Oryctolagus cuniculus: one gene and its partners. The protein of the gene in region 2 interacts with the protein of the main gene of each other region in a biochemical or structural test. Links are inferred from orthologs where the notes say so. Each region holds a gene or a part of one and is shown on either strand. Other genes may lie near its edges.

What was found. The genes of interacting proteins can lie anywhere in the genome.
Region 1: the proteins of APBA1 (region 2) and CNTNAP4 form a complex in vitro, tested with the Homo sapiens proteins (2 studies listed by BioGRID and IntAct, with this or other methods). The link is inferred for Oryctolagus cuniculus from reciprocal best matches to the Homo sapiens genes APBA1 and CNTNAP4.
Region 3: the proteins of APBA1 (region 2) and HTR2C form a complex in vitro, tested with the Homo sapiens proteins (2 studies listed by BioGRID and IntAct, with this or other methods). The link is inferred for Oryctolagus cuniculus from reciprocal best matches to the Homo sapiens genes APBA1 and HTR2C.

The regions. Positions count from the first base shown.
Region 1 is NC_091449.1:58,907,417-58,910,916, forward strand, and holds part of CNTNAP4 (contactin-associated protein-like 4), read left to right. Parts: intron 1-446; coding exon 447-671; intron 672-3,104; coding exon 3,105-3,238; intron 3,239-3,500. UniProt on the Homo sapiens protein: Presynaptic protein involved in both dopaminergic synaptic transmission and GABAergic system, thereby participating in the structural maturation of inhibitory interneuron synapses.
Region 2 is NC_091432.1:160,800,870-160,804,943, forward strand, and holds the start of APBA1 (amyloid-beta A4 precursor protein-binding family A member 1), read left to right. Parts: upstream 1-1,274; 5' UTR 1,275-1,419; exon of another isoform or gene 1,420-1,520; intron 1,521-4,074. UniProt on the Homo sapiens protein: Putative function in synaptic vesicle exocytosis by binding to Munc18-1, an essential component of the synaptic vesicle exocytotic machinery. May modulate processing of the amyloid-beta precursor protein (APP) and hence formation of APP-beta.
Region 3 is NC_091453.1:78,560,506-78,564,005, forward strand, and holds part of HTR2C (5-hydroxytryptamine receptor 2C), read right to left. Parts: intron 1,633-3,500; coding exon 821-1,632; 3' UTR 1-820. UniProt on the Homo sapiens protein: G-protein coupled receptor for 5-hydroxytryptamine (serotonin).

The DNA.
Region 1 (3,500 bases), on a different chromosome or scaffold from region 2:
AACTGTGAGAAAGTGTTTAGAAAAAAATTTTTTTTGTTATTAATCCTAAGAGAGAAAAGTCAAACTTGCTTCTTTTGTAATTATTGCAGTGAGACTAGAATATACTAACTGCAAAATAAATGATTGGAATTAAAATTTAAACAAGAAAGTAGATGGTCAAGGATGTAAATGACCAGAAGCCTGGCTTATGTTTGTGCTCTGGGAAGAGTCTTAAGCTTTTGATTGCAAAGTTAAACTAGTGAGTTAATTCTATGTCACCCAAACATAAAGTCATTTCATGGCCAGTATGAAAACCCTCTTAATTTACTGTGTTATTGGAGTCAAGTGTGAGGCCGCTTCTTCCATCTACGTGATTTGTTATTTTTAAGAAATTTAATTTCACTAGTATAGCTAAAACAAGATCCTTGTACTTAATATTTTAACATAAAATGTGAATGTCATTTCAGAGATTTCTGCATATTTTGGGGCTGGCTCATCCGTGATTTACAATTTTCAAGAAAATTATTCCTTAAGTAAAAACTCCAGCTCCCACGCTGCATCATTTCATGGTGATATGAAGCTGAGCAGAGAAACGATCAAGTTCAGCTTCCGAACAACACGCGCGCCAAGCCTGCTGCTGTACATGAGCTCCTTTTACAGAGAATACCTTTCAGTCATCATTGCCAAAAATGGTGAGTGCTTCTTGGATAAGAGAGAAAAAATTGAATTTGGACACTCAGACTATAATATGTGGATCATTTTTGTGTTTTTGCTTCTCAAACTATAAGCAGAAAAAACAGTGTATCTGTTTTTCTATTCATTATGCTTTTACAGTGCTGTCCCTAAAGCTTAGACTCAAAGGATTATTTCAAATAGGGATGATGCCTTTATCTTTCTCATTTTGATAATTTTATATGTGCTTTGTGAATTTTTAATTTATTCATATAAATATTTATTATACATTATTGTCAGAAGCCACTTACTATCCCCTGTGGATATCAGTACTAGTTTTGTGGTTTTTAAAAAATATGTCTGGTTGTACATAACAAATAGTTCCTTCAAATCAAAGTAAAGAAGTATGAAGAGTATGTTCACAAACCAACAAGTTTGTGAGAAAATGTCCACAAGATGACCAGTTGGTTCCTTTTTTTTTTTTTTTTTGACAGGCAGAGTGGACAGTGAGAGAGAGAGACAGAGAGAAAGGTCTTCCTTTGCCGTTGCTTCACCCTCCAATGGCTGCCGCGGCCAGCGCGCTGCGGCCGGCGCACCGAGCTGATCCGAAGGCAGGAGCCAGGAGCCAGGTGCTTCTCCTGGTCTCCCATGGGGTGCAGGGCCCAAGCACTTGGGCCATCCTCCACTGCACTCCCTGGCCACAGCAGAGAGCTGGCCTGGAAGAGGGGCAACCGGGACAGAATCCGGAGCCCCGACCGGGACTAGAACCCAGTGTGCTGGTGCCACAAGGCGGAGGATTAGCCTATTGGGCCACAGCGCTGGCTCAGTTGGTTCTAAATAGAGGCAATATAATAATCATGGGAAATATTGGTGTATCCACCCGAGAAAATGATAATGGATTAGGAAATGTGTATGCTATAGAAATCTTGTTGCATAAAACCCCTACCTGCTATTATTATCTTCCATATATTTGGATTAAAGATAAAGATTTTACAAATATATTCTCTAGGGGAGAAAACAAGCAAATATAGAGACCCATGAATATGTCTTTTCAGATATATCATATATGGGTTTAGGACACTGACCACCAAAATAAAAATAATACTGTTACGCAAGTATGCTTACTTTCACTGTACATTTTGGGCTCAAAAGTTATCTATAAATTAGGACGTTTTCTTTGTCAATTGGAGGAGGGATCCATGAAAAAAATTTCTTGACATTTCTTCAATCAATTCAGTGATTACAAAAAATATATAGGAATGAAACAGACATTTTGCAATATGATTGTTATTTTTGGTCCCTGTTTATACTCCTGGGGAACTGTGGTCTTCGTACATTTTACTTGTTGAATTTTATGGTTAGTGGTGATTAAAGAAAGAAAAGGAAGGAGGGGGATTGAGGGAGGGAGGACGAGGAGGGTAATTTGGTTATCTTCTTAGAACTGTACCTATGAAATACATGAGAATCTATCCTCTTTATATTAATGAAAATTTTTAAAAATTATACATTTTGCTTAAACCCATTCATTTCACCTTAACTTTATTGCAAGTTTATGATCATGGCCACTTGGAAATAGGTTTCATCTTTGGTAAAACTATATATTTGTTTGTAATAATTACATTAGTCAATGGTATTTAAAGACTGTGAGATGTAATTTGAAAAGATAAGATTATAGGGGCCAGCGCTGTGGCATAGAGGCTTAATGTGCTTCCTACTGCTCTAATATCCCATATGGATACTGGTTTGAGTCCTGGCTGCTCCACTTCTGATCCAGCTCCCTGAGAATATACCTGGGAAAGCAGTATAAGATGCCCCAAATGCTTGGGCTCCTGAACCCCCAAAAGAGACCCGGAGGAAGCTCCTGGTTCCTGGCTTTGGTCTGGCCCAGCTATGGCTGTTGCAGCCATTTTGGGGAGTGTAACAACAGAAGAAGACCGCTGTCTGTCCCTGTTTCACCCTCTCTCTCTCTGGAACTGCCTTTCAAATTAAATAAATAAATATTTTTTTGAAGGACAATGAGAAGGAGTCATTTATGAGAAAGCAGATTTAAAAAAAAGAAGAAAAGATTATAGAAACCGATTGTAATTGCAGTATTCCACAACAGTGAGGTATTTTAGAAATACATATTCTTATTTTTCTTTTTATAAATTAAAGGCTAGTGCTGAGATTTTCACATGTTTAATGTCAGAGTTGGCCTTTGGGGAAGAAAGTCAAAGGTTTGTAGAAACAAGATTATTTATTAACAGTGTTCTTGATCTTGATTTTGAAAATTCTGCAAAATTCCACTGAGAAACTGACTTCTATGAATGATCATTACAGGGTACATCCAAATGAAATATTGCAATTTTTTCTGTAAATGAATACATAATGACAAAAGGATTCTGAACTTTTGTAAGTAGTTCTTAAAATACATTTTTTTTGCAAACATTAATTCTCTTTTTCTTCTACCTTAGGAAGTTTACAGATCAGGTACAAGTTAAATAGATATCAAGAACCTGATGTCATTCATTTTGACTTTAAAAGCATGGCTGATGGGCAACTCCACCACATACAGATTGACAGAGAAGAAGGAGTGGTCTTCGTCGAGGTAAGGCAGTAGCATCAGCAGGAGTAGTGCTGCAGTGAGCGCTCCCCACCATGAAGGATCTGCAGTGCAGAGTTGGTGATGGACAGAACAGACAAAGAGCGTGCAGTGCTTCACCGCAGTGTGTGGTCGACTATTAAAGGCAGTCAGGTTTTTTTCAGCAGTAAGATTCTGTCCAAAATCTTATTAATACCTGACTTGATGTGCTACACTTGCCTCCCTTGTTTTCGTCTTCCTGATAGGGAAATGTCTGGTTTATCAGTGT
Region 2 (4,074 bases):
CTAAAAGGCCTTCTGTGGGGGAGGGAAGAGCTCTTGTTTATTAAGGCCACTCCCCATCCCCGGCAGAGGTTCGCTGTGAGGTACAAAGCAAATTGATACGAATTTTAAATTGAAAGGATTTCCAGAAGGCTTCATGCTGTGTGCCCTGCCCCGCTGATATCTCTGCAGGAATGGTGCTTAAATAATATGGAAACACGGTGTGGTAAAAGCTCCGTTTTCCACCGTGTCTGGATAACCAAGGTTCATCGTCATACTAGACGAGAATCCGAGCTTGTGTATGAAGAGGGCTGTGTGGATCATGGGGCTTCATCATCACTGGGAAATGTGTGTCCTGGAGAGGGGGCACAACTGGACCCCGACAAAGCCAATTACAGGGGAGGCTGGCGCCAGAGTGCAAGCCCACCCCCACCGCACCCCACCCCCCGGGACCTGCCTGTCCATCAGCCCATAGCTTCTCATTAACGCACAGCACCTGCCACCCGGTCCCCTGAAAACAGTCCCCTCCTTCCCGAGCTGGGGCGGGTGGCCTCTGTCAGGCTCAGAGACACTGCAAGTTCCGAGCACCCAGAACTGACACGCGAGCGGGAAAACCGGACGTCTCCCGGCATCCTTAACCCAGAGGCTGGCTTTCTGCTCTCCTTGGTCGGACCGGGCAGTTCGCCTCCGGGGCCGCCAGCCGGCCGGCGTGGCTCAGGCGCCAGCCAACGCGCGTCGCCCTCTTGCGGCGGCAGCGCCAGGGCGCAGCGCGTCCGGAGACAGCCGCACCCGCGTTTCGGGGGCCGGGGGAGCGGGAAGCTTGGAGTAACGAGCGAGCGAGTGAGCGAGCACACGCGGCCTGGCCACTTCCTACGCGCAGAGGTTGGCCACAGCCGCTGGTCAGCAAACCGGGGACCCCCTGAGGCTGCCGCGGAGGGGCGTGGAAGTCCCTGGCAGGCCCCTCAGGGACGCAGCCGCACGTCTCCCTCCCTGCCCTCGGCCTGGAGCCCGAGTGAGGGCTGGCGGGGCTCGCCCGAGAGCGCCTTGGGCGCGACGGGCAGCAAGAGGGCGCGGACACCCGGCATGCTCACCCGCGCGGCTGTGGCCGGGGTGCAGCAGCCAGCCGCCCGCCTCGGGCTCGCGCGGCGCGCGCACGCGGGTGGGCGTGGGAGGCAGGGGCGCTACTAGCACGCGGCGAGCGCGCGCGCGGGCGCGCTCCCTCAACAGGCCGGAGCGGCCCGGCCCCGCTGCGCGTCACGAGGGGCGAGCGAGAGAGCGAGCGAACGAGCTGGCGGGCGGGCGGGCGGGAGGGGAGCAGGGGGTGGGGCCGCGGGACCGGAGGGGCCCGAGCGGCAGCTGCGGAGCCCGAGCCGGAGCTGGGCGAGGGCGGCTGTGGTCGCGGCGACGGCGGCGCGGCAGCGGGAGAAGATGGTGGCGCTCGAGGTAGGAGCGGCTGGAGCGGAGCTTTATTCCCAGGCTTGGCACCGACGCTGTCATTAGCGCCGCCTGCTCCCGCGGGCCCGCGGACCCAGCTGTCAGGCAAGGTACCACGGCCGGGGAGGGGTGGCGGAGTGGGGGTGCCCGGCGCGGATGCCGCCCAGACCTAGCCCCGGTGCCCGCCGAAGGGGCAGGAGGAGCTGCATGGAACAATAGTGCCGTTGAGAGGGGACGGCGGGCGACGTCCAGGGGGCAGTGCCTGGAGCCGGCGAGCTCCAGCGAGGCGGGGGAAGGGGGCGTAGTGGGGAGACGCCGGGTGTCCGGCGCGCGCCGAGACCCCGGGGCTTCGGGGTCAGCGCGCGGGCCTGGTGACAGTCGCGACAGGAGTGTGTGTGTGTGTGTGTGAATGTGAGTGAAAGGTTCAGCAGAGGGGATGGGGGTGGCGGACCCAAGGGGTTGGGGGATGACATTTCCAGGAATCCCCGCTAGGATCCCTCCTCTCCTGCGACTCTCCGGGAGCAGGAGCGTGCCTATGGAAGCAGTGGGGCCGGCAGGATGCACTTGGGATGTGAAGTGCGGAGGGAGGCAGAGGGGTAGGCGCAGGTTTGTACAATCCCGTGGAAGCGTGTGGTTGTCTTCTCGCTCCCGGAGCTGCACCCTAAACCCACAGGTCTGCTAGTGCCAGGACTTGGGGCCACCGGCCCAGACTGTGGGGGCAGTGTTTGCTGTTTCGACCCTGCAACTCTGAGTCCTGCGTGCGGATGGCCGCGGGCAGGGGTTCTCACTTCCCCTTTCTCTGGCCCCATGACTTGGGGATGTGGAAGTTGGCATGTCGCGTTGGGGCGCACGCCCGGGAGAATGGTGATCGTGGTTGCACGTTCAGGGCTTGCTGGTGTGCCCAGGTTGGAAGCGAGCTGCCCGCCTGTGACACTGTTCTCCTCAGCCCCTCGACTGCAAGGGTCTTGGACTGTCTCCGCCGTTTCTGTCGTTTATCTCCTGTCTGACCTGAAAGGGGGGAGGGGGCGGTCTTTAATGGTTGCTCTCCCCTTCGCCGCAACTTTGCCAATCAACCAGATCTTCTCCCTCGCGTGGCCAAGCCCTGAAAAGCTTGTGGCTGAAGGATGAGCGGCCTTTGTGTTGGCTCCCTTAGAAGGAACTCTGGAGGTGTGCACAGGGAGAGAGATGGGAGAAGAGTCTTTAAAAAGAAGAGCAAGATCCTGCTGAGAAGTGTTTGGTGCCCTTTTGGCCAGCATCACCCAACCAGGGCGTTTACTGGAGGAAATGGGACACTTTATTTCTTCTGCTGGAGACAGCCACTCTCCAGGCTCTTACAATGGCTAGGTGGTGCCCTGTGTGTCCCTTGGGTACCGAAATATCCCAAGACCCACGGTGATGAGTTCCCTGGTTGGTGAAGTCCCTGCTTTGCTACTGGATAGGGTCCCCCCACCCCCATGGCATTTGGTCAATGTCAGGCTGGGAATAACTCATCCAGCGGGAACCAGGATGCAGAGACGCCTGCAGAGACTGTAGCTGGGTGATAAAGATAGGGTTGTGTAGGGCTGAATGGAGAGAGGGAGAGAGAGGAAGGGAGATGGCATATCCATGTGTGGGTCTGCTGCAGTTTGGCTCTCCGGTGGCCGTATTTCTCCTGCAATGTTCATAGGAGTGAATGCACCTTTACACTGAATACCTTGATTCTTCGTTGTTGAAATGTTGCATGACTAGATTAACCTGCCTAGGACATATTTTAGTCACAGCACCTTAAATTCTGCTGCATTGCTGTCAGAACCCAAACTGGCAGCCCCAGTCCTCTTTGAAAAGCCTATAGCAGTCATGGCTGTAGAACTAAATACATAACGTGTTGACACCAAATGTTTCTTTTCTTTTTTCTCTTTCTAAAATTTTGCTTTGCTTTCTTGGCAAAGATTACACGATATGGTTGTTACCTTGGAAAGAGCAAAATGAAGGCGATCCGTGGATGCTTTTGTCCCTCCCCATTTGTCTTCTCTTAATTAATGATGATGTATAGACCAGGAGCTCTTGAAGCTGTCAATGTAAAGTAAATTTTCCCATGTCCTTCAACTCAAGCTTCTAAAATTTTAATGTGAGGTTGTTGGATCTTATCCAAGATTTAAGGGTAGATTTATAAAGATGAATTTTGAATCCTAGTTCTTTTTTCTCTTATTAGTTCTGCCAAATCTTTCTAACAAAAGTGCTAATGGAATCAAAAAGGCATTCTAAGAGGTTTTGATTTTGGGGGAAAAAAAGCCATCATCTTTATATTTGCAAGTAAAACCAGGATGTAAATGTCTTACGAGAAAGTTTACGAATATTAAGAATTACCCAAGGTAAATGAACTGTTCAGAGAAAGAAGAATTATACAACAGCACAGTTGATGACTCAGGAATTAATGATTTCCTTTCTAATGTAAATGTGGTAATTTCTAAAACGCAGTGCCTGGCCCTTCTGAAGATTGGGCTGGCAAGGTTCATGCTGCAGCTCAAGCCCTGTAATTCAGTCCAGTAAACAGTCGTCTCTTCTGCCCTGGCCCGCAGCAAGTCATTCGTTTTGTGTGGATGCCTTCCCTTCACTTAAAGTAACATTAATGCTTTTCTTTCTCATTTATTGGAGCACTTAAAAGTGTTCTTTTATTTCTCAGAA
Region 3 (3,500 bases), on a different chromosome or scaffold from region 2:
GAATGAGAACACTAATTCCAGTTTGCTTGTCCTAATAGTCAGAATTTGAACATTGTCCTTAAGAAGTGAAAAGCTATTTGGTGTTTATATCTCTTATCATCCTTCCACTTCTGTAGTCCTGGTTAACCAGCTGCTATGTTAAAATACCACTATGTTTGGGGACAGACATTGCAGTAAAATACCAACAGAACGTTCTGACAATGTCAAATTTTGCCCCTGTGTGTAGCAACGAGGCTAAGTTCTGCCTTGCACTCACTGATAGCTGTATCAGAAGGCAGAACCTATCTTACTGTGTTTATGTGTGTAGATGAGCAGAGCAAGAATTTAAAGTGTATATTTACTGTTAACCCGGAAAAAGAATCCATTGAATTTGTAAATTTTGCTGTGGTTGAAGTAGAACCACGATCGTGCATCATTCTGGTCTCCTGCAAATGCCACCTGAGATGAACGTGAACATTTCCATATGCACAAAAGGAGGGAAAGAGAGGAAAGAAGGAAGGAAGGAGGGCAGCATAGGAGGCAGCAAGGGAGGGAGGGAGGGAGGGAGGGAGGGAGGGAGAGAAGGAAAGAAAAAAATAAACATTTTAGTCATCAAAGAATCAAAATAAGTTAGTTTCCATCTATTACAAACAGTAAATATAGAACTCTAAATTTCACTATTGCACGCATGATCGTAAAGCACAGGGTTGCAAAGCTATATATAAAAACACTTTTCGTCAGACTGCAGTATTTACATTAGTTAGGACCGACAGAAAAAGTAAAGGAGAGACTTTTCCTACCCGGAGAGCTTTACCGCAGGAAAAGACTGTGCTGCACTGTCTCACACACTACTGATCCTTTCACTGACCACATTGCAGGGCTCTACTGGGAGCTCCAAATTCTCAACATGCATCTCTATACCGGGCTCGTTGTCATCGGCTTTCCGCATCACCGGCTCGTTGGTGTGCCGGTAAATGTTAACGTTCAGCTCCCTCCCAGACAAAGCAGTGGCGGCAACTCGTGGCATTTGTCTAACAGGTGGCTTTTTGTCTCCCTTATAATTGCAGCGCAAATAGTTGGAGAAAGCCCTTCGGTAAATTTTGTTGAAGAGAGTGTACACCAGAGGATTAATTCCGGAACAAACATAGCCGATCCAAACAAACACATTCAGAAGCTTTTCCATGAGCTTCTGGTTACAGGCCTTCCCACAGAGAACTGACAGAATATTAGTAATGAAAAACGGGCACCACATGATCAGAAACACAAAGAAAACAATGCCAAGGACTTTGGAAGCTTTCCTTTCGTTGTTGATAGCCTGCATGGTGCCCCTGGGACGTCTCTTCTTCTTCCGGCGGGCATTCTGCTCCTGGTTCGCGTTCTCTTCATCAGCAGCACTTGTCTTGCAGCACTTGAGGAAATTCAGGTTTATTCCGGGTGGTTCCTCGGTGTGGCCGTGCAGTAACATCAGAGCTTGTCGGCGAAGAACGTGGATCGTCAGGCAATACGTGATCACCATGATCGTCAGCGGGATGAAGAAAGCTACGAAGGACCCAATGAGGACGAAATTTGGGTCGTTGAGCACGCACGTTGTGTTGTTCACGAACACTTTGTCTTCATCTCTCAGTCCGATCACAGGGATAGGAACTGAAACACCTACAGAAATCAAACAGAAGGCAGGACCTCGTTAAGCCTACTGCAGCACTGAGCACATTGTATCATGGCATAATCCATTTGTGTTTCACTGGCAGAAGTATAGACCCGATTTTTGTTGAATGCTGCTCATGGCGTAAGTGATGGTCACATGAAACAGTCATAGTAAGATACTAGAAAATGATTCTCCTTTCATGGTAGCCATGCCTTCTCACTAAATTTCTGTGGAAGGCATGAGCTTAACAACACTGAGAGAAACTATTAGAGATATGATTGTTGGCTAAGAGTAGATTGTGTTCCTCTTGTTGTATTTACAGTTCCTTGAATTGTACTGGCTCACAGAAGGCACTCAATAACTAGGCACTTTGAAAGTTCATGGAAAACACATGTTATGAAAAAACTATGCATGAATTTCAATGTTGTTTTCTCAAAATGCTAATATTGTAATTCCATTTTTCCCATAAAATTTTGAAGTGCTCCTCTATTTGCTGAATCAATGAATAAATTCAGATCTGTATTTTTTTCCTTATCATCTTTAAACTTAATAGCCTTTTCAAGGTTGGCTGAGCTATGTCTGACCACCATGCAGAAACAGTCTATAAGCAGATAGGGACAGGAATCTCATTTTAGTGAGTTTTTATTGTTTGTGTTTAGTCCTGGGCCTAAGTAATGTTGTTTCAAGGTCAATAGACATAGTGAAACGCAGAGTGCCATTCCTGTGGGGGGTTCCGTGCATTTTGGTTTTAAAGACTACTGTGACATAGTATTCTGAGAGAGAGGTTTATAGGCAGAAGACATCATCAAGGAGTTGGGAGTGGAAGGTACCCTTGTGCAAGAGCTTAAGTAAGAAACCTCTTGGAAACTTTTAGAAATAACTCTGGTGGATCTTGGAGAGGTCCTGCCTTCATGTGTAGAGGTTCCTTATAAGTGGTATTTGAATGTTTGTATAATTTCTCTCTCTTTTGCCCACAGCAGATTGAAGCCCAAGAAAATCCAGACTGTCCTTGTGAGAGTATATCAGAGATTATTAGAAATCCTGGACTGGTAGGTATGAGGTTTGGGAAGAGACAGAAGTGGACCCACTGGGACGGGTGCTGACTTTAGGGGACACAAAAGGAACTGTGAAGAAACCCAAATTCAAAGTCCTGACAGGTTGTTTGAACCCCTAGGCAGGTGTATAGAGTGTTTGGCTGGATACTCAAAAGGGGAAAAACAGTGTTTCTTTGCTAGAGTTTGCCGAGGCTGTTGACTGATGCTCAATCTCTGGCAAGACACAAGACAGTATTTCTAAGCCTTCTTCCTCAGATGCTAAAGTTCCAAAATATTGGCCTTTTTCTATAGAAAGAGCCCAAACGATAGTGTGAGAAGTAGAAAAAAACGGGACAAGACTTAGGTATCAGTCCACAACCACCTAAATACTCTGAACCTAGGCATGACATTCAAGGAAGGAAGGCTGAAAAAAACCAGGAGGCCCTGAGAACACAGGTCTTTGGTCATACACAGCAGGAGCAGGATCCTCGCAGGGAGACCGTTAGCCCTGAGTGGGAAGAGTGCCAAGTATCTGCAGGGGGAGGGAGAAGGTAACATTCCACCAAATTTGATGAAATACTTGAGAGAAGTTAAGCACATATTTGGAAATAAAGACAGCGGCAAAACTACGCAGGTCATATTTCTTGAGTTATAAAAATGCAAGTAAGAAAGCTACCAGTTTATATTGTTAGAACCTTTACTCAGAAAGTCATAAATATAAGATAATCTCTAGAAAAAGTGCAGACAAAGCTTGGCCGAAACCAAGTCAGTATTGGTTTGCCCTTTATGAGATATTTTAGTGAAGGCTTAGCTGCAGAGCGAGTTGTCTGATGTTAAGGAAA